Linked DNA regions of Drosophila melanogaster. The gene in region 1 interacts genetically with each later gene. Each region holds a gene or a part of one and is shown in the gene's direction. Other genes may lie near its edges.

The links.
Region 2: of stumps (region 1) and Smn, changing one enhances a phenotype caused by changing the other (phenotypic enhancement), as found in Drosophila melanogaster (one study listed by BioGRID).
Region 3: of stumps (region 1) and Ras85D, changing one suppresses a phenotype caused by changing the other (phenotypic suppression), as found in Drosophila melanogaster (3 studies listed by BioGRID).
Region 4: of stumps (region 1) and btl, changing one enhances a phenotype caused by changing the other (phenotypic enhancement), as found in Drosophila melanogaster (one study listed by BioGRID).

Annotation. Positions count from the first base shown.
Region 1 is NT_033777.3:14,589,860-14,594,656, forward strand, and holds the start of stumps (stumps), read left to right. Parts: upstream 1-1,760; 5' UTR 1,761-2,110; coding exon 2,111-2,150; intron 2,151-2,422; coding exon 2,423-2,661; intron 2,662-2,801; coding exon 2,802-2,983; intron 2,984-3,144; coding exon of another isoform or gene 3,145-3,147; coding exon 3,148-3,356; intron 3,357-4,797.
Region 2 is NT_037436.4:16,579,898-16,583,402, reverse strand, and holds Smn (survival motor neuron), read left to right. Parts: upstream 1-1,855; 5' UTR 1,856-1,951; intron 1,952-2,015; 5' UTR 2,016-2,220; coding exon 2,221-2,901; 3' UTR 2,902-3,005; downstream 3,006-3,505. Other genes in the region: Rpn12 (regulatory particle non-ATPase 12), read right to left, coding at 1-303. UniProt on the Drosophila melanogaster protein: Core component of the survival motor neuron (SMN) complex that plays an essential role in spliceosomal small nuclear ribonucleoprotein (snRNP) assembly in the cytoplasm, is required for pre-mRNA splicing in the nucleus and acts as a chaperone that discriminates target and non-target RNAs of Sm proteins.
Region 3 is NT_033777.3:9,510,011-9,514,587, reverse strand, and holds Ras85D (Ras oncogene at 85D), read left to right. Parts: upstream 1-1,520; 5' UTR 1,521-1,800; intron 1,801-2,135; 5' UTR 2,136-2,296; coding exon 2,297-2,435; intron 2,436-2,591; coding exon 2,592-2,848; intron 2,849-2,906; coding exon 2,907-3,080; 3' UTR 3,081-4,027; downstream 4,028-4,577. Other genes in the region: Rlb1, read right to left, coding at 1-1,141, 1,199-1,225. UniProt on the Drosophila melanogaster protein: Ras proteins bind GDP/GTP and possess intrinsic GTPase activity. Plays a role in eye development by regulating cell growth, survival of postmitotic ommatidial cells and differentiation of photoreceptor cells.
Region 4 is NT_037436.4:14,073,839-14,081,774, forward strand, and holds the start of btl (breathless), read left to right. Parts: upstream 1-1,975; intron 1,976-2,037; coding exon of another isoform or gene 2,038-2,107; 5' UTR 2,108-2,210; exon of another isoform or gene 2,211-2,285; intron 2,286-3,226; exon of another isoform or gene 3,227-3,289; intron 3,290-5,616; 5' UTR 5,617-5,773; coding exon 5,774-7,936. Other genes in the region: Pex1 (peroxin 1), read left to right, coding at 1-680, 739-935, 998-1,621, 1,872-1,975, 2,038-2,107. UniProt on the Drosophila melanogaster protein: May be required for patterning of muscle precursor cells: generation of mesodermal and endodermal layers, invaginations of various types of cells, and CNS formation.

The DNA of each region.
Region 1 (4,797 bases):
TTTCCATAGGTCCCAATATGCCGGGCATCTGTGTGGTAGGGGTTATTTGGTTGTTGGCCCAGTATCGATGGCAGGCCCGATTTTAGACCCAGTCCACTTAGGAATTCCACGGACAGACCACATGGACTCTCTAGCATTTTGCCACTTCAGTTGTTGCTTCAGTTTCAGTTTTTTTTTTCCTAGTTGCACTGGGGAAAAATGTGAAAATGTGTTCCCTTAGCACAATTGTTGCTCTCCCCTGGCTGCAATTTTTAATGTGCCTTTTCCGATGCGCGTTCTTTTTTTTCTGCCTTTGATGCTCTCGAGTTTCCCCTAATGTGGCTGGAATATGTCGCCTGGCCATAGCTTCTATTATGGCCTTCTATTTTCGGCCCAACATTGATGACAATTTTCATATTTGCCATAAAGTCGAAAGGCAAATATTGCGTATCTTCAGGACAATTGAAGAAATGCTCCAAATATGAGTTTACTTTATGCTAATATATTAATATACAGCGTAAGTAATCATCATATTTTTGATGAATTTCTGGCATCTGTATCATCAAACATCCTAAAACTCTTTGTATAATTTTTTTTTTTTGTATTTTTTCCCATGATATTTTGGAAGATTAATTCTCCCACCGCTCTGCGAAGGTGAGTTCTCATGGTCCCTCCCGAAAAACGTCTCATAAATGTTTCCTGACAGTGAACATCATCGAATTGAAGACCAACCCAACCACAGACAACACTCGGCGCACAAACTCAAACTTTGACACTGATAGAACATGGGGAATACTAAACCGGGGGGCTCACCTCAGATGCTACAATATATATGATGATGGTATATGCTATGTGCGCCACATCAAGTTGGCTTATATGCTAGATGGGTCTTCTATTTCTGCTATCGGAACTCATCAAATATGCACGACGAGACCAAGACAAAACGTACGCTCACGGATGGAAAATGGGAAAGGGACAGGAGACAGGGACAGTGGACAGGGGACAGAGGACAGGGAATCATGGATATCATGGAAATCATGGACTCGGAGCGCGCTGGCGATGATAATTTGATCATGCGAAAAGCGCACGCAAAAGAAAAACATGCGCAGGTACAACAACAAAGTCGTTGTAGTCGAGGAAAAGTGAGTTTTCCTGATCGCCGATCGGTTTCTAGGGGTGGGGGAGTACCGAGTGGGTGATGGCAATATGGCAACCATATTTAAACACTGATCCCGTATGCGTGTGTGCGTGCGCGGGCGGGAGCGAGATGGGGTGAGAGTGCGAGGGAGAGATGCAATGTTTTTATGCTGCTGCCGATGTCGCTGCACTGTGAGAAAATAAGAGATGAGAATTGATTGATCTCTCAAAATGATGTACAAATTTATTAGTGAAGACACAGAAACAGACATAAAGAAATCAAATTTACCGATTAAATATTATTATTTTATTTAATTAATGTATCCAGTTCAAAATCTTGTGGTACTTATTTCAAGTAATTTTTTGTATCTGAATTTATTAAGAAAATTATGCCTAACAGTTTCGCTTAGAGAATTCGAAAGAAAATATTAATATGAGAAGGTGGGATTTTTCGGTATATTTATTTTTATCAGTGCACGCTGAGAATGGGAATGGATGAAGAAGTGCGCGTATGGTAAATAAAAACCAAAACACGAGGAGGGATTCTCTGCGTCGGCAGAGACGTCGACAGAGACATCGGCGGTGGCAGAGGAAAATGCAGACGGCGCGGAGTGTTTTGTTCTCGTTGAAGTTTTAGAATTTATTCCGTTTCGGGATGTCAATGCAGACGCACGCACTGCGCGAACTCAAGTGAACTGAAGTGAAATATTAAGTCGAACCATCACGAACTTGCATTGCCGCCTAAATTTGAATTTTGAATTTATTTGCCCCGTTTTTTCAAACTGACAATTTGTTAAGTTGCCATTTGTGGCACTCCCCGTTGTGATTTCCGTTTACGGTTTCTCGAATTCGCGCCCTGTGCGCAACTTTTGGCGCGTGCGCATGCGCAGCCAGTGAAAGTGCAAATGCATCGCAAATCAGAGCTCTGAATTGTGGTAGACTCTGCGAATCGCATATCAACTAAGGAAAAATTCACTGCATAAAGGATCTCAAGATGTTTGTCACTGTGGATAACACAAACACCTTCTTCTCAGGTAAAAAGAGTGAAAGAGTTTCTTAAAGACTTTATAAGTTTCTTTATGCGAAAAGAATTGTAACAAATATCAAAGTTTTAAGTTAGAAAGTATGAGCAAAAGCGAAAGATTATACAAAGATACAGAGATTCATACAGATTAAAAACGTACATATATGATATTAAATAAATGTTATTTATTATACTTTATAAGCACATCCTCAAACTTTGATAAGTTCAAATCAGAAAACTAACTCCATTCCTCATTCATTCTATTGCAATTGAACTCCCCAGACAACCCGTATTACTTTTGCAATGAAACCAAGTCGCCGCGCACCCCGGACTCGCAGTCCTCCAGCCGGGGATTCTCGATCTTCAAGCGGCGCAACTCGAAGGGCAGCAGCCCCCGGCCGCTGGTGATGACCAATCCGGAACAGATGCGACTGATCACATCCGCCAATCTGGATACCACGGCTACCATGGCATTAGGAAGTCCGCGGGGCAGCTTCAATTCCCTCGCCGGCTATCCGCAAGTGAGTAGCGATTTAATAGAGCATATTCCGATCTCCGATTTCGGAATACTGATTCTGATTTATCTGCTGGATCTGCCACTTCCTGTGGAGTCGAGTGAGCCCTTCTAATGTGCCGTCCTCTTCCGTTTTGCGCATTTCAGCACGCGATTGAACTGCAGACGATGAACATGTACCGCCAGCGATCTGCAAATTCGCACTCAGAGTTCCGGGAACGCCTGAATTCTTGCAACGAGACCCACAGCTCCCAGTGTCCCGGAGGAGGAGGTGCATCCGTAGCTGGGGATCACGACGAGGTCTTCAATCCGCTGACATCGCCAACAAGGTGAGCAATCCCCAGAATCGAGCATTTAATGGGGAGGGTGAGGTGATGACAGGATGCGATTGCAGCTGTTGACAGTTTCGAACCGCCCCCTTTTCCGCCCATGCTAATCGTGCGCCCTTTCTTTTCTCCCCCCACCCCCCATCTTTGCGACCAATCCTCAGTAGCAAATCGCATCGACATCACACCCTGCCAAGTGGCGGAACTCGTCGCCATTCCCTGGGAAACTGGGCCCAACATCAGCATCAACAGCAACATCAACAGAACTCTGGAGCAATGGGACTGGGATCTCCGGATGAGGTGCCCAGCATGATGGCGCCTCGACCGCCGCTCCTCTCGCCAAACAAATTCCGCGGCAGTTCCCATCGACGAAGAGGTGAGTTGACGTTCCACGACACTTGCATTTCCCATCTGCTCAGTATGCCACGGGGCAATCGCGAATTCCTATGCTAATCTGGGCTCAATAAGTAGAAGTAATCCATGTAAATGGAAATCGTTTAGCAAAGTTTTCAGATAATAGAAAAGTCGATAGTTGACAGCAAACGTATATGGATTATAGGATATGGCTGTTATGTCCCTAAAGGAATAAATTTTGGCTCACAAATTTTTAATTTTCTTTGAGAGCTATTTTTTAAATATCTGCTTATTGCTGTGTTATTTAATTTACTCGAGTCTAATATACTTTTAGTTATTTTAATATGCCCCACAAGTTCAGCCGACGCAGTGACAAAGACAAAGTGGTTGCAAATTGCATTCCCTGCCCTCGTTTCGCGTTCGCATTTTTGCACTTTGGCGGCTGTCAGGCGTTCACTCCCCTTTGCCTGCTACTCCATTTTCATGCCCCAAAAGTCCTCCCTTCTGGGGTTTTCCCCCCTGTTGACTCCTCCAGTGGCTGCCCAACAACCTTTACCTCGCAGCTTTGCATCACGTTTGCATATTAAGCGCAACTGCCAGCTCTTCGGAATTTGTTTTTTCATTTTTCGCCTGGCAGGCGCCATGGAATTGGGTCCACTACCCAGCCCCTTTCAGTTCGCCCTCACATTTAAACCACGTTAACAACATTGCAATGTTTACGCAAGTGATAATTGTAATAGTATTTTGTCGCCAGAGCGTCGCCAATCTTTGTTTTGGCATTGTTTTTCCCCGGCAGTGGAGTGGAGCTTCTGTTTGCCTTCGATTTTGTGGCGTAATGAGGGGATCGCATATAGCCGATCGAGCGTATATATAGCTGATTGTTGGCAACGCGCCTTCCTGGCTGACTGACATTTCGCGACTGGCCTGACATTGACAGTCCTCCGTGTGATGGATGCCCCTAAAGTGGGCAGTTGCATGCAAGATGGAAAGGCCTCCTGGTTTACTCGTATGTCCAGCAAAAGTCACAGGTTTATGGTTTATGAGTCGCTCAGGACTCCTTTGCACGATCATTGTGTATTCATCATAAGCGTTTTCAAGGTTTCGCTTTCATGACATCTGATGATTTAAGTTGATTTAAGGCACTTCGTGTGACGTTTAAATCCAGCGCGATTTTCGAGTCTCAAAAGAGATGAGAAATAAGTAGTAGATGAGATACTGAGGAGTGTTTCATACATAGAAATTCAGAGCATGTAGATCTGCTTTAGAAGTGCCGCAATTTATTAGAAGTGTGCCATTAAAGTTTTTACTATTATAAAAACAATAGATTCTTTCCCTTATTGTTATTGTTATCAATTATAATAACGGTTGCCCACAGCGCCTTATTCTAAAAATGATCACCCACCATATTCGACACACTTATCGCTATGGTCACTTGCAATCCATTCGAATCTTTCGCCATATGC
Region 2 (3,505 bases), on another chromosome or scaffold:
CTCCGATTCGCCAATGATCTTAGCGTAGTCATAGTAATAGCACTTCAGCTGCGCCATGTAGCGCTCGAAGGCGAGCAGGTCCTTGCTGAGCACGCTATGCTCCACGGCCACCTCAAGCACGCTCCTAGCCAGGATCAATTGCTTCTTGGAGCTCTGGGCATCGTTTCCGTCCGTCGGCAGGAAGGCCATCTTCACGAGCGCTACTTTCAGTTGATCCAGCAGCTGGCCGCATTTGACGGTGTTTGGTGGCCGCTTTGACCACTCGGCGGTCAGTTCTTTGTACAGCGATTCCACGTTGGCCATTCTTTAGATTGGTATATTGAAGCTTAAATGTTTTCTGCAAATTCCCAAGATGATTTTCGCTTTTTTTTAGAGATGGCAATTGTTGTAGGGTAAAGCGATAGGACAATCGTTATCGGAACAGTTATCGATTGTCAAGTTACCACAGGGCTGGGAATATTATTTAAGTGTAAGTTTAAGTTGAAAAATACATTTTTTAGACGAACTCTATATAGTTTAACAGTTTACAACTGAAAGCTTTATGATTTGATCCAAGGGGTATTGTATTTCCTTTGTGCTTTAATATCGATATATTTTAACAAACTATCTAATGGAGTTTAAATCTAAATTTTCGCATTTAAGCTCGGACTGTTTATTCAATTAGTGATTGTCTCAGTATAGTTAAAAATTTCGGGTATTGAAATCACGTCTATTTGACCTTGGGCATAAGTTTTGTGTCAAGAATAACTTAAATTATTAAGCGATTCAGAACTCTCATTCTTTGTGGGTCTTTAGATGGTACCGCAGTTGCGTGTTCGTGAAATAGCTTTTGGAGCACTTGGTGCATGGGAACGGTCGCTCTCCTGTGTGGCTCATCATGTGAATTCGAAGATGCGCATTCTGGGTAAAACGCCTTAGGACATTGGGAGCACTTGAAGGGGCGTTCGCCTGTGTTGATTATTAGATGCCTTTTAAGATTGGAAGCCAGCGTAAAATTCGATGTACAATGGGGGCACCGTTTTTCAGTGTGTATTGCAATATGTCCCGAAAGATGCGATACGCTCTTCAAAGCCTTTGCTGCTAAGCAGCAAGTGCTGCTTAAGTGCTGAGTTTATCCAAAACCTCGTTGGGCAATGAGGACATTGAAGCAGCTTATCATTATCACGTCCTTTATTTTGCAATCTATGGTTTTCACAACTATCATAGTCTTCGTCTATTACCTCAATATTGACTTGGCTATTGGATTGATCGCTGTCACAGTCCACGAACTGATCATCGTCTTTAAAGAGGCTCGTTCTACACTAGACAACATTCCCATTGGATCATGCCACTGCCTCGCCAATCTTCAACTACACTTTCGAGTTCGACAAAATGCTGAAAAGCACCTCCATCGATACTCGATTCCCCATCCTCGGAATAAGATACCTTGCGGAATCGGGATTCCTCCATTAACTAAACGTAAAATTATTAGCTCCTCTGGTGGGTTTTTCTAAACTCGAACGCATTTTGTGCATCTTGGCAGCAGGAGGTGCAAAATGTTTCGGGTAGATGATCGCCTTTTTCCACTTTGAGGCCAGTGCACTCGGAAATGATTGACGCTATTGAAGCTTCAGTGCCGTGCTTAACTTCAAAAATATTGAACTCGTTTTCACATTGCCCGAGGCAAATTCGGCACACCAACCCCAACTCCATACCTCCGAAATTGAGTTAAAAAATTTAGCGATCTCGCTTTCAGGTCGGATCGATCAATTTATTGTTTGTTTATTGTGTTAAAGATGCATGCTGATAAGTATCGATACTATCGTGCGGTTAATGGGGACGATAGGTACAACACCACTCACAATAAAGTATTTTTAGTGGAAAGTATAAAAAGAAGACTTCAATTAAAACAATAAATACAATACAATTACATTGGAAGTATTCTGATTGCATTGTGAATGTTGGCCACAAAGTATGAAAACTTTTTTCAGCTTTACTGAATTTAAATATTTCTTAACCATTTCGTTCGCTTTCAGAATAATATAATACCCAGAATGACTTCATAAATTTTATCACATCTTAGTTTGAATGTACACCTTTTAGCGATAGTTTCATGTTTCGGCCTGTGCTGCTAAGCGGTGATTCGCCTGCGCTTTCCAACACACAGCAAATTCGCATAAAAGCGAAACTTGGTTCTTCCTTTAAAAACGTGATACTTGCCTGATAGGATAGAAAGCCGAGATGTCCGACGAGACGAACGCCGCGGTGTGGGATGACTCCTTGCTGGTGAAGACGTACGACGAGTCGGTGGGACTGGCCCGCGAAGCTTTGGCCCGCCGCCTCGCCGATTCCACCAACAAGCGCGAGGAGGAGAACGCTGCCGCAGCTGAAGAAGAAGCTGGCGAGATCTCGGCCACTGGTGGGGCTACCAGCCCGGAACCAGTATCCTTCAAAGTAGGCGACTACGCCAGGGCCACCTACGTGGATGGTGTGGACTACGAGGGCGCTGTGGTGTCTATTAACGAGGAGAAGGGCACCTGCGTACTCCGCTATTTGGGCTATGAGAACGAGCAGGAGGTGTTGCTCGTGGACCTCCTGCCGTCCTGGGGCAAGCGTGTGCGTCGCGAGCAGTTCCTTATCGCCAAGAAGGATGAGGACGAGCAGTTGAGCCGCCCTAAGGCATCCGCTGGTAGTCATTCAAAGACTCCCAAGTCATCCAGAAGGAGTAGGATCTCTGGCGGACTGGTTATGCCGCCCATGCCACCAGTACCGCCCATGATTGTCGGACAAGGGGACGGCGCCGAACAGGACTTCGTGGCCATGCTCACCGCCTGGTACATGTCCGGCTATTATACGGGCCTCTACCAGGGAAAGAAAGAAGCCAGCACCACTAGCGGAAAGAAAAAGACACCCAAGAAGTAATTCCATCTTATCTCATCATCACATCACATCTTTTCGAAAGACTTGTAGATATTAAGAAAACAGAACGATTAAATTTATTATATTAAAGAGTCAGTATCGTCATGGTGGGATCTCGTTTCAATTGCTACATAAATGGAAAAAAAAAATGCCGAGGCAGGCAGAAATTTAGGTTGACATTCAATATGGCCACTTGAGAAAATCAGTGCTTCGATACATTTCGTAGCGAGCGGTTGAGTTTGTAGTATAACGGAATTTTCATAACCTTCGATAGATCGTAGAATGGCGATATTTTAGCTGGCAGTATACAAATCAGAAAAGAAAAAAAACGGATATTTTGATTGGTAAGCAGACTTTCTTACACTGCAATAGATTTCTTTAACTTTGGGTATCGTGTAGCTGTTTTAAAATCAGAAGCTGAAAAATTTTATTGATAAAAAATAAGATATAATGATAAAGAGAGTACATGGTAGTATTGCCTAATTAACAAACTAGCTAAAAATGCGCTTGGACCTTTTAACCGTCCATATTCAACACTGCCAAATGCATCCTTTATTTTCACAGGCTTACGATTTGAAATATAAGTGGTAAATCCTTCTCTTTTGCA
Region 3 (4,577 bases), 5.1 Mb from region 1:
TAGCCAGCCAGGAGGGATGACGATCATCAGTTGGCTTTCTCGCTTTGAACTCTGGCTGTCTTTCCGGTTTCTCCCGATATGTGTTCGACCGTCGATCCTCATTGCGGAACCTTTTGACTGGCGGCGGTGCCTGTTCCTCATCAGCTTCGCTGTCATTGTCCCCGGAAAGAACCACGGCGCTGGACAAGTAGGGCTGGCCTGATTCCGTAATGAAGAAGGGATCAACGACATGTGTGGGACGATTATTGTCAAGTTGTGGTTCTTCTTCATCGATACTTGGCTGCCTTTCTAATCGTGGCTTAGGCTTCTGCTCTCTGGCTGGTTTTTTCTCGAAGGGTTTTGGCTTAGATTCTTTCGGTCTGCCTTCTAGTTGTGGCTCTGCATTATTCTCCTTGATTGTATTTAAATTCTGCTTTTTGGAACTGAGCTTAGTTATCTCCGGGTTGATCTGCTCATCAAAAGCTTGTTTTTTCTGAAGGTTTCTTTCTTTTTTGGCTGGTGTTTTAGGTGTCTTTTCCTTTTTGACTTTGAGAACTGGAGAATTTTCAGTTTTTGCAAAAGACTGTGGTATTTCCTGATCATTTACTTTGCTGACTTGAAGAGTGGGCGTTTCCGCAGTTGCTCCATTAACATCTGCATCCACCACTTTGTTCTGCTCTAACCACTCCAGTCGGTTTTTGGTTTGGGCCTTCTGCTCCTTCAGCTCCTTGCGCTTCCTCTTCCGCTCCTCAGTGCGTTCTATTTTGGCCCTTCGCTTGCTCGTCTCTAGGATCTCCTCACGCCACTTGGCCTCCTTATCGGTGGTGCTCAGCTTCAAGGTTTCCACAAACTTGTCCACCAGTCCGTGCATCAATTTGTTTAGCCGCAGCATGGCAATGCCCAGTTCATCCGGCGTGGAGCGCTCGTTAGCAATCACCGCATTGGGATTTGTGCCCTCCTGCAGGAGCGACTGGCGTACCATATCCATATATTTTAGAGCCTTCAACTGGGCCAGGCATTCTGTGTTCTTGCGTAAACGAATCTTTTCCTTTTCACTGTCTGGATTTTTGGCCAGAGCCTCTTTTGTCTTTCGCAGCTTTTGTACGATTTTGGCGATGGTCTGGGCGCGTGCCTTTTGAATGACCTTCTTGTTGGATATCACCTGTAAAAGTTCTTTTTAATTAAAACTCTATAATTTTAAATAAAATCGTTTATTTACCAAATTATTGAATTTCAATCTGTCCATGCTGTTTTCGTTACAGTGGTGGTTGAAATAATAGACTCAGGCTTGAGTCCGTGCTAAGAAACGGTGATGCCAGCCCGTTGAACTTAAATTAACAATTATTAAAAGCAGAAAGCGTCTGCCAGTTTTTACAGAAAGCTGTATTGATCAAATCATTTATTAGTTTAAGCAAATTATAGAGAGTCGACTGAAGTGCATCCACCTCTTTAGATTAGTTTTCATATAGCAATCGCTATTGCAAGTCCATCGATGGTGCCGGCCAGAATGCAGCCATCGCTATCGATAGTGCCATCGGCTTGGTGCCAGCTCTAGTATCTTCACAGCTACGTACAGCCTAGATTTCATCTTCATTTCACATACGGATTTATTGTTTTCCTGCGCTGTTAATTGCAATTACCGCACGGCAATTAAATTGGTGCCATCGAGGAGTACCGCCTGTCGCACCGTTAGCCGCGAAAGTGACGTGAAACGTGCCCAGCAACTGCGCCGCGCGCGAGAAGAGAGAGGCAGAGTATTGATAGAGAGGAGCGGAGCGGAAAAACAAGGAGGAGCTAGCTGAAGAGGCAGCAACAAAGAAGGTCCGCAGCCCCGGCAGGCAAAAGAAAAATAATAAAGAAAAGGGCTAAAAACAACGCCGCCGAATTAGCAAATTCACCTAGTTAACAACTCGGCTATGGGGGAGACTAACTAATTTGCATTGAGCGAATGGGTTTTAATTTTAGTTTGAGTCATTGATCTCTTTTTCCCATTTTTTTTTGTGTTGCCCGTCTGGCTGTGTGCATGCAGTGGTGCGTGTGTGTTTGTGCGAGTAAGCGCCTAGTCACAGTGACTCAGTGACGTGCATTAATTCCTGCCTAATTATGCGTTTAATTTATTTTAATCAATCTTAATTAATAATTTACTCCACTTGCAGCCCATACACGCACAGTCACCCACACAAACACACGCAACAAGCGTACGGAGAGAGAGACTGCATCTGCGGGCGCTTCACAAGAGAGTAAGCATCGATCGCGAGAAAGAGACTGTTACTGTGACATTTGACTACGGCAAATCGAAAACGGACGCCACAGCCAAATGACGGAATACAAACTGGTCGTCGTTGGAGCCGGAGGCGTGGGCAAGTCCGCGCTCACCATCCAGCTAATCCAGAACCATTTCGTGGACGAGTACGACCCCACAATCGAGGACTCTTACCGAAAGCAAGTGGTTATCGGTGAGTTATATGTACTTAGATCTGGCAAAGCTAGGGCTGCACAGGTCCAAATACTCTAGAGATTTCTGCACCCTTTCGCTGGTTTGGTTTCCCGTTTATACTAGAAGAGACCTTAAGAAGTTGCGATATTCAAATGCATTTTATATTCCCCTGCAGATGGAGAGACCTGCCTGCTGGACATCCTGGACACCGCCGGCCAAGAGGAGTACTCGGCCATGCGGGATCAGTATATGCGGACTGGCGAGGGATTCCTGCTGGTCTTTGCCGTCAACAGTGCGAAGTCCTTCGAGGATATCGGCACCTACCGTGAGCAGATCAAGCGCGTAAAGGATGCCGAAGAGGTGCCCATGGTGCTGGTGGGCAACAAATGTGATCTGGCCTCGTGGAACGTTAACAACGAGCAGGCAAGAGAGGTGAGTACCGGCCTTCAGAGTTCCGAGCGAACATTCCGTTAATTATGGTTGTTCTCAGGTGGCCAAACAGTACGGCATTCCATACATTGAGACATCCGCCAAGACGCGCATGGGCGTGGACGATGCATTTTACACACTGGTGCGCGAAATCCGCAAGGACAAGGACAACAAGGGGCGGAGGGGCCGCAAAATGAACAAGCCGAATCGTAGATTTAAATGTAAAATGCTCTAAACGGCCACGCATTGGTTATTATTCACTTTTTATTTCTTCAAATGTCGCCTGTTTGTCTGTATGTGCGTCGGCGAATCGCCGATCGTCCTGGGCTCGATGGTTTGTCCATTTTGGACACACAATGCGAAAAACACACACATGTGGGAGCGTGTTGGTCGGTGCAATTGTCAGATAAAAGAAGAGAAATTGTAATTAATTTAAGTAACTAGAGTTTTATGTACGTCGAAATGATTTTGTGAATGTGTGTGTTTTGTGTCGTTTGAAAGGCTGCGAGGCGCCCTTTTAAGAGTATTAACAATAACAAGCAAACAAAAACGAACGAAGCAAATCGAAAATGAAAATGAATATGTACCTCTACATAAAAACTATGAATACTGTTGTAACTGCCTTGGTTCAGCTGCTATATCCGTTTGTTTTCAACCAGCACTTAACTTGATTCTATGTTGTTTGTACTTCAACAGATACTCCGTGCTTAAAACCGAAACGCGATGTAAACAAATATTGTGTATTTTTACAGCCCTGTTATCTATTGGTTTCAACCCGACAGTCATACATAAATGTAATCTTTTTTCGCACACACGCACGAGCAGAATTCCATTAGTATTCATCATTAGAGAACAAACAAGCAAAAGCCGATAAGCTCACAGCAACTTTCGCACAAACGAGTAAATTCGCTAGCCCCAAACTAGATTTATGTTCGGTTAAACACATATCTGTGGTGCTACGATGATGAAATTATAATCCGTATGAGTTCTTGAGATTTGCCTTTCTTTCTACTTACCATACTGACAGATCAATCGGAGAGAAAACAAACAGCCAATTAAATTTACATTATATAGTTTGCTTTAAGCTTTTTATACATACATACATACATTTAATATTTAATTTTTTGTATTAATTTTTGCCATACAAAAAGAAACGAAATAAATCGATTGTGTGTACTATTTATGAAAAGTGGTTTTAGTTATTCCATAGTTTTGCTTTTGTGGATTCTATTTTTCCATCTAAAGTCTCCTGTCTTGTTGAGCCAAATATTCTATTATTTGAATTTTTGCGTTGCGCGCGTAAATTGCAGTATGCCTACATTTCGATAATTCGAAGAGCATTTTCGAATATCGGCGATGTCTAGTCGATAGAAATCTGAGACACGTCCAAATATCAAACCATCGATGAATGTGCTGTCATCGTATCACTGTCAACTCTAACATAGACTTTTGTACGGTTTTCTATTGATCTCGGAAACTGTAGTTTGTCACAAGCGTTTGTTCATTGTATAAAATTTACTACGCCGAAAGCAGCAAAATAGAAATATTACCAGTATTAAGAGCACAGCCAACATCAAAAGGTAAGCCATAACGCTAGCATAGAAAAGAACATTTGGCGAAAAAGTCGATTGACGCGGTCGCCATTTTGTTTTCGCGGACGCCGCTCCGGGTGTGTACTACTACGAATATTGCAAGAACTACAAAACGCATTGCGAATCCCTTGCAGACAACA
Region 4 (7,936 bases), on another chromosome or scaffold:
GGAGTACGATAAGATTGTGGATCAGGTAGTTCAGGAATTGCGAATGAATCTATGCCTCAGTGCTGACAATTCCGTCATGCGTCAGTGCAATGTCCTACTCGCTGGTGCCTCGGGAACGGGTAAAACAGTTCTTGTGGAGCGCATTTTGGACCAGCTGTCACGCAAGCCGGATTATTGTCACTTCGAGTTCTTCCACGGATCGCGAAGCAAAGGCCGCAAGACGGAGTCCATCCAAAAAGATCTTCGCAACATTTTTACCAGCTGCCTGCAGCATGCCCCCGCCATTGTTGTGCTAGAAAACTTGGATGTACTGGCCCACGCTGCTGGAGAGCAGTCCAGTCAGGATGGAGAGTACTACAATCGCATGGCGGATACTGTGTATCAGTTGATTGTTCAGTATACCACCAACAACGCTATTGCAGTAATCGCCACCGTCAACGAGTTGCAGACCCTCAATAAGCGATTGAGCTCACCAAGGGGAAGACATGTCTTCCAGACTGTTGCTCGTCTGCCCAATTTGGAACGAGCAGATCGAGAGATAATTCTTCGAGAGCTGTGCAGCCATATCAATGTGGCCAAGGACCTGGATCTTGTTAAGTTCTCCAACCTCACGGAGGGCTACCGGAAATGTGATCTTGTTCAGTTCGTGGAGCGTGCAATATTTTATGCTTATCGCATAAGTGAGTAGTTTGTAGTGTTAGTAAGCAACTTTATCATGTTAAATTCCCTTTTTTCCAGGCAAGACCCAGCCTCTTCTGACCAATGATCAGCTTATTGAGTCCCTGGAGCACACAAACTCGTACTGCCTGCAGGGCATTCAGAGCAATCAAAGAACTGGCAATGATGCCGATGCCAATGAAATGCGCGTCGAGGAGTTGCCTGGCCTGGAGTCAGTTGTGGGAGTTCTGGAGGAGGTCCTTATGTGGCCATCAAGGGTGAGTTTTAAACGAAATATATGTTTTTTTCTAAAATTTAATAAATCATTAATTTCTTACAGTATCCAACCATTTTTAACGCCTCTCCACTGCGCAACCAGGCCGGAGTACTTCTATATGGGCCACCAGGAACAGGTAAAACCTATCTGGTCTCTCAGTTGGCCACATCGTGGAACCTGCGCATCATTTCCGTCAAGGGTCCTGAGTTGCTCGCCAAATATATTGGTCAAAGCGAGGAAAATGTTCGAAACCTGTTCAATCGAGCTCGCAGTGCCCGACCATGTGTGCTTTTCTTCGACGAGTTTGACAGCTTGGCGCCGAAACGTGGTCACGATTCCACGGGGGTCACCGATCGAGTGGTAAATCAGTTGCTCACAGAACTGGATGGCGTTGAAGGACTGCAGGGAGTTACCGTGATAGCAGCTACCTCCAGACCGGAACTGCTAGATCCCGCGCTTCTTCGATCCGGTCGCATTGATCGCTTGGTGGAGTGTCCTTTGCCGGATGCTCCGGCCAGAGTACGTATATTTGAAGCACTCAGTTCAACACTGAGCCTTGATGAGTGCGTGGACTTCGATTGGTTTGCGGGAAAAACTGCAAACTACACTGGCGCCGATATCCAGAGCATCCTGACCTCGGCGAACATGGCGGCGGTTAAGGAGGCGCTAGCTCAATTCGGACACGAGGTGAGCTGGGAATTATTTTCACCGGAAACAATCTGCTTTATGGGTCATGCAAGCTTTCAACCGTTTCTTTCATGTTTTATTGTTTCTCATCCTGATTTCAAATGTAACTTCTATGTAAAAACTCCTTTACGTGTTTGTCTTTTAAATCAAAAGTGAAATCTATGCTACTTCCTGCAACAATGATTAGTCACGTAGTTCTTAGTCTCTGGCCACAGTATAAAATACCATTTGTTTCTTATTGCTTTCCCAGAAACTGGCAAAGAAAATTTCCTTGAAGCAGAAGCACCTGATTGAGTCGTTCCAAACCACTCGTCCTTCGCTCAGCGCCTCCGATGTGGCCAAATATCACAGAACGTACGTAACAATGTCTTCTTTGTTCTTCTGTTCTTCTTACCTTTTTAATTATCTCTTGGTAGGTATGCTCGCTTTACCAACAAGGAGAAGACTTCTAGGGAGTTTGTAGCCAAGCGTGCGACCTTGGCTTAAAGACAAAGACTTATAAGCTTAGCATTATTATTATTTTAAATTGTTTTTTGCATATTTGTACATCTGGAAAATGGAACATTTTGTTGGAAGACGCAAGTCTTAGGTAGTACATATTTCATAATTTTTCTTGTTGAAAAATAAAAACCAAATTTCTTTTATGATTACTTCGTATAAATCCATATACCACTCCGGAGTGTTAAATTGAAAGAATATTATATTTTAATTATAATGTACATACATGTATAAAAAAGAGAAAGAGATGTTCAAATTTAAGAACTAATATCTTTTCGCATTCTGACCTCGGTAAACATGAGTGCTGTTAAGGGGTGGCTCCTTAACAAATGAAGACATCAGGTGAGTTTGGTTATTAATTCACCGGAAATTGTGTTTAGCTATAACAAGTTTTTGATAGCTAGTTTGGATAGTATGTCCCTCCTTTTCGTATTTCCCAACTGTTTCGCATTTGTTCCCATAGCCCCTAACAAGTGCATCAAAAATGCATTTAACTATTTTTGGGTAGATTACGTGCCCGGCATCTGGATCTGGATTTTGGCCTATGCGGGAGCTAGCTGCTGCCATGCCACATGCAGCAACTGAGATTTTTGGATATCAGTCACGTAACGGATATTTCCTTATTGATATGCGATTACCGCGCATGCGCACGTACTGCACACCACTAAGACAATGGACACATTTTCTTTTGCATAAATTAAGCCGCCAAGCAAACAAACAGGGAGGGAACCCGAAGGCCAGATAATAAAGAATTTCAACGAGTCGAAGCCACCGCAAACATGCTTAGAATAAAACCAACAAGAACCTAGCAGAAGCAGCAGCAGCAAACCAGCAATAAAAAGAAAGGAAACCGCTCAGGAAAACTACCAGCGAAAACAATTGCAACATGCGGGAGGGAGACCACCTCGATCAGGTAGCCGTCCGAACCCATACCATCCCATCCGAAGACCCTGTGCCCAGGATCCTAGCAAACATTATCGCAGGGAACCACAGATATCCACTCGTTTCGTATCGTATTGGATCGTATTGGATCGGTTCGGTTCGATCGGCACGTTCGGATCGTTCGTATCGTACCGCGTAAAAGTTTCTTCCGTTTCGATCGTTACTTTCAGTTGTTTGCGCACATTCAAGCCAATCGGTTGGCTCCTTCCACAAACTTTACGGATTACGGTTAGTGCAACGGAAGTGAACCCCCCCCCCCCCCCCCCGCCCAACACCAGCTACCCATCACATATTTCTTTTCATTTATGCCTGGTAAAGGGAAATAAAAGTTGGCAACGAAGCGGAAATGCAAGGCGCCTTCCGCTGCCCTCTTGCCGAGTCTTAAGATTTTTATACAAGCCCCAACCGCGATTGACAGCCGAATAAACATAGTGACAATGTTTTTTGCAATCTTATTTGCCTTCTCCGGCTCCTCGAAAATAAAAGACAAAGAACGTGATTTTTTTGGTCAAAGATTTGGGGTTGTGGCATGGCAGAAAAGAATTGTGTTCCCACTGCGAACTGACAAGCAGCAGTGAAACCAAAATAAAGCAAAAAATAATTTAAGAGTGAATTGTTCCAGCAGTAAAATAAATACAAATCTTTCCAAGTGCAGCCAAAAGATCATAAACCACAGATAAATAAAAACAAAAAGTCTGCAAAGTAACCAAATGTTAAAAATAAAATTTTAATTGAGACAAAGAAACGTGATAAAACTGATTCATACATAATTAAATAAACACCAATGAAATAAATAAGAAAATAAAATTAAAGTGATGTCAATTGTATGAATGAATAATTTATGTCTTGATCCAAACATTCCTTTTACATTAAGTCAATGTTTGCAGAAAGAAAACTGAATGGGGAGTTAATACCCAGGGTTCCAAATAAAGAACTTATTCTATTCTCGATATAGCTGATTGACCAAGTTGAAATATCAAATCGTTCATGCATTAGATTTATACGCTCGATAATAATTCACAAGATAAAAAGGTGTGAGCTAAACGGTTTTGGCCATGTGCGCTTGTGGCTTAAAATCGAATCGAATAATATTGAATGAATGACAAACTGAGAAAAAAATTAAATAAAAATAGCAATAATACATACTTCAAATACAGCGATCGACTCGTATTTGGCAACAAATGAGAAAAAAAGGAATTGAATAAATTAAAACCTGCGACGCGTGTGCATACATACATAAATCGGGCCTGAAGTCAAACGGCTAGCGGCTAGCGGCAATATCGGCTAAAACAACAACAACAATTACTGGCAGCACTAGCACCATATTAACAACAACAATGACAATCGCAACGGTTGTCCCAAGCCTTACAAACAATAAAATACTTTTCATTAAACAGCACAGTGGTCAAAACGATTTTATAAAAGTTAAAAATATTTTAATTTTCTGATAGAAAAAATAGTCGAACTATGCTATGCCCCCATTATTATCAATATTTTCTAAACTTCGTTTAAAACTTTACATTTTGTACAAAGCTTACATTCGCAGACAACAAGTTTGGGAATTTACCCTATCATCATTAATCATTGAACTAAAAATTGTTTATTTTTATTTGGCAAACATTTGACGAACCCAAGTAGATGGAATACCCACTGTCCTATACCCTTTACGTGATTATACTAAAAATTAATTTTGAAATAATTATCTGCTATTAGGATTTTCGAGCAGTGTTATTCAGTGTTTAAAGCATAACTTTATTATAAATATACCTTTTAATTGATTAAAATGCTGAGCTCATATTGCACAGAGAATTTGAATGTTAATTAGTTGCTATTTCAGATTGTGGCAAATCATTTAGGTATTTCTCGATTTGTTGTTGCAATTCTCTAGCACCTTGTCTGTTTGTTTTGTAAGTGCAAGTATAGTACTTGGGGAATAACTGAAAAGTGTGACACCACTGTAACAACTGATTTCAACAAATAGCTAAGTGATTTTCTAACTGTTCGGCATTTAGTTGAATGGAAATCGAGGAGCGCAGGCCGCAGCAACAAAAGCATTTGGCGAACGTCGAATATAGACAAGTTATAATGGAGATCCCCTTCGGTAGTGGGTGGCGACGAGTGTGTCCGGCAATTCGGTGGCTTCGACCACGTCTTCCAGCTCATTACGAAGGCAGGGCACACAGTTTTCGTTTGTTTCAGTTGCTTCTCCTTTGGATTTTTGCATATCGGTGCGGACAGACTTGACTTGGCTGTGTGCCGTGTTGGCAATAAAATATTAAACAATAATAATAAATAAATAAAATGACACAGATCGGGAACTAAGGGAGGGGCAAAAAGTGAAGCGGAGATTTGGCAATATTTATTGATCCACTTATACAGCTGCGGTCAAAAGAATAGTGGCACAATAGTGGTATTCAAGTAACGAATAGCTAATAATATTTGCATTCATAACTTCTTAAATTTAGTTAAATTAAACAAAATTCCAAAGTGTTATTTTTAAAGTATAATATATCAATCAATGCCATGTAATTCATATATTTAATCCTTTCCTTTAGCTGGAGAACGCTCGATTTGAAATCGAGGAACTCGAATGAAGATACCCACAGGAAGTGATATTATTTCGACCGCAACTGTAACCCATATGTACACGATCGTGCCCATCCAGATACGAGATCTTGGTGGCTGTTGAACTCAAGAGAATCCACTTGAATCATGGCAAAAGTGCCGATCACGCTGGTGATGATCATTGCGATCGTCTCTGCCGCTGCGGACCTGGGATGCGATTATGGCCATCATCGTTGCTACATCGATGTGACTGTGGAAAACAGTCCCCGCCAGCGCCATCTGCTCTCCGACATGGACATCACGCTGCAGTGCGTCCGACCCATGGCCAAATGGTTCTATGAGGATAAGTTTCAACTGAGGGCTACCCTTTTGCGACTTGAACGAGCACAGTCCGGAAATTCTGGAAACTACGGCTGCCTGGATAGTCAGAACAGATGGTACAATATTTCCCTTGTTGTTGGCCATAAGGAACCAGTTGGCAATGATATCGCCAGCTTTGTCAAGTTGGAAGATGCACCGGCCCTCCCGGAGTCAGATCTCTTTTTTCAGCCCCTGAATGAGAGTCGATCCCTGAAGTTGCTGCAACCCCTACCCAAAACCGTACAACGGACCGCAGGTGGCCTTTTTCAGTTGAACTGCAGTCCCATGGATCCGGATGCAAAGGGTGTTAATATATCCTGGCTGCACAATGATACTCAAATCCTTGGTGGACGTGGACGCATTAAGCTTAAAAGGTGGTCATTAACAGTGGGGCAACTGCAGCCGGAGGATGCTGGAAGCTATCACTGTGAGCTGTGCGTGGAACAGGACTGCCAAAGGAGTAATCCGACCCAATTGGAGGTGATAAGCAGAAAGCACACGGTGCCCATGCTAAAGCCCGGATATCCCCGCAATACCAGCATTGCCCTCGGGGACAATGTGAGCATTGAATGCCTACTTGAGGACTCTGCCCTGGAGCCGAAGATCACGTGGCTACATAAGGGGAATGCGGACAACATCGATGACCTCTTGCAGCGTTTAAGAGAGCAGTCCCAGCTACCTGTGGATGTTACCCGATTGATTACCCGAATGGATGAACCGCAGGTACTTCGTCTTGGAAATGTCCTGATGGAGGATGGCGGATGGTACATATGCATAGCCGAGAACCAGGTTGGACGCACTGTGGCCGCCTCCTATGTGGATCTTTACAGTCCCTCAGATACTACCACAGTTCGCACGACCACTACTACCACCGTGGCCAGCCCAATACCCACTGCATCCACCGGAGAGGACAACGATGACGACGTGGAAAATCCAGCAGCGGAAGCATCAGGCGGCGTTGGTCCACCTGTGTTCAGAAAAGAGCTGAAACGATTACAGCACTCATTATCGGGAAATACTGTCAATCTAGCCTGTCCAGTGTACGGCAAAGCGAACATCACCTGGACGAAGGACAAGAAGCCGCTAAACCGTGAACTCGGCGTCTATGTGCAAAAGAACTGGACACTCCGCTTCGTGGAGGCCACCAGCGAGGATTCTGGACTATACAACTGTAAGGTGTGCAATGCGTGGGGCTGCATCCAGTTTGACTTCAGTGTCCAAATAAACGATCGCACGAGATCCGCACCAATAATCGTGGTGCCGCAAAATCAGACGGTGAAAGTCAATGGCAGCTTGGTGATGAAGTGCACCGTCTACTCTGATCTGCATCCAACAGTCAGCTGGAAAAGGGTTGTCCTCAAGAATGCCTCCTTGGACGGCCTTAAGTCTGTGGAAATCCAGAATCTCAACTTCACCGTGACGAATGACTCCGTAGTTTTAACGCTTCGTAATGTGACCTTTGACCAGGAGGGCTGGTACACCTGTTTGGCCTCAAGTGGTCTGGGAAGGAGTAACTCCAGTGTGTACCTTAGGGTAGTGAGTCCTCTGCCACCTTTGGAGATCTACGCCCTGCTGCACGCCCATCCTCTCGGATTCACCTTGGCCGCTATTACGATAGTGGCTTTGTTCCTTTTGGGCAGTGCTTTCATAACGTTCATGCTGCGTCGGCTGAGGAGGGAGAAGCTCCTGAAGCTCCGCATCGAAACGGTTCATCAGTGGACTAAAAAGGTGATCATATACCGACCGGGTGGAGAAGAAGGAAGTGGCTGCAGCTCCGGCGATCTTCAGATGCCAGTGATAAGGATCGAGAAGCAGAGAACAACCGTTTCCACAACGGGAACTGGCGGTACTGATCCCGCCCAGGGCTTTAATGAGTATGAGTTCCCGCTGGACTCAAACTGGGAGATTCCCAGGCAGCAGCTTAGCTTGGGCTCCATTTTGGGTGAGGGC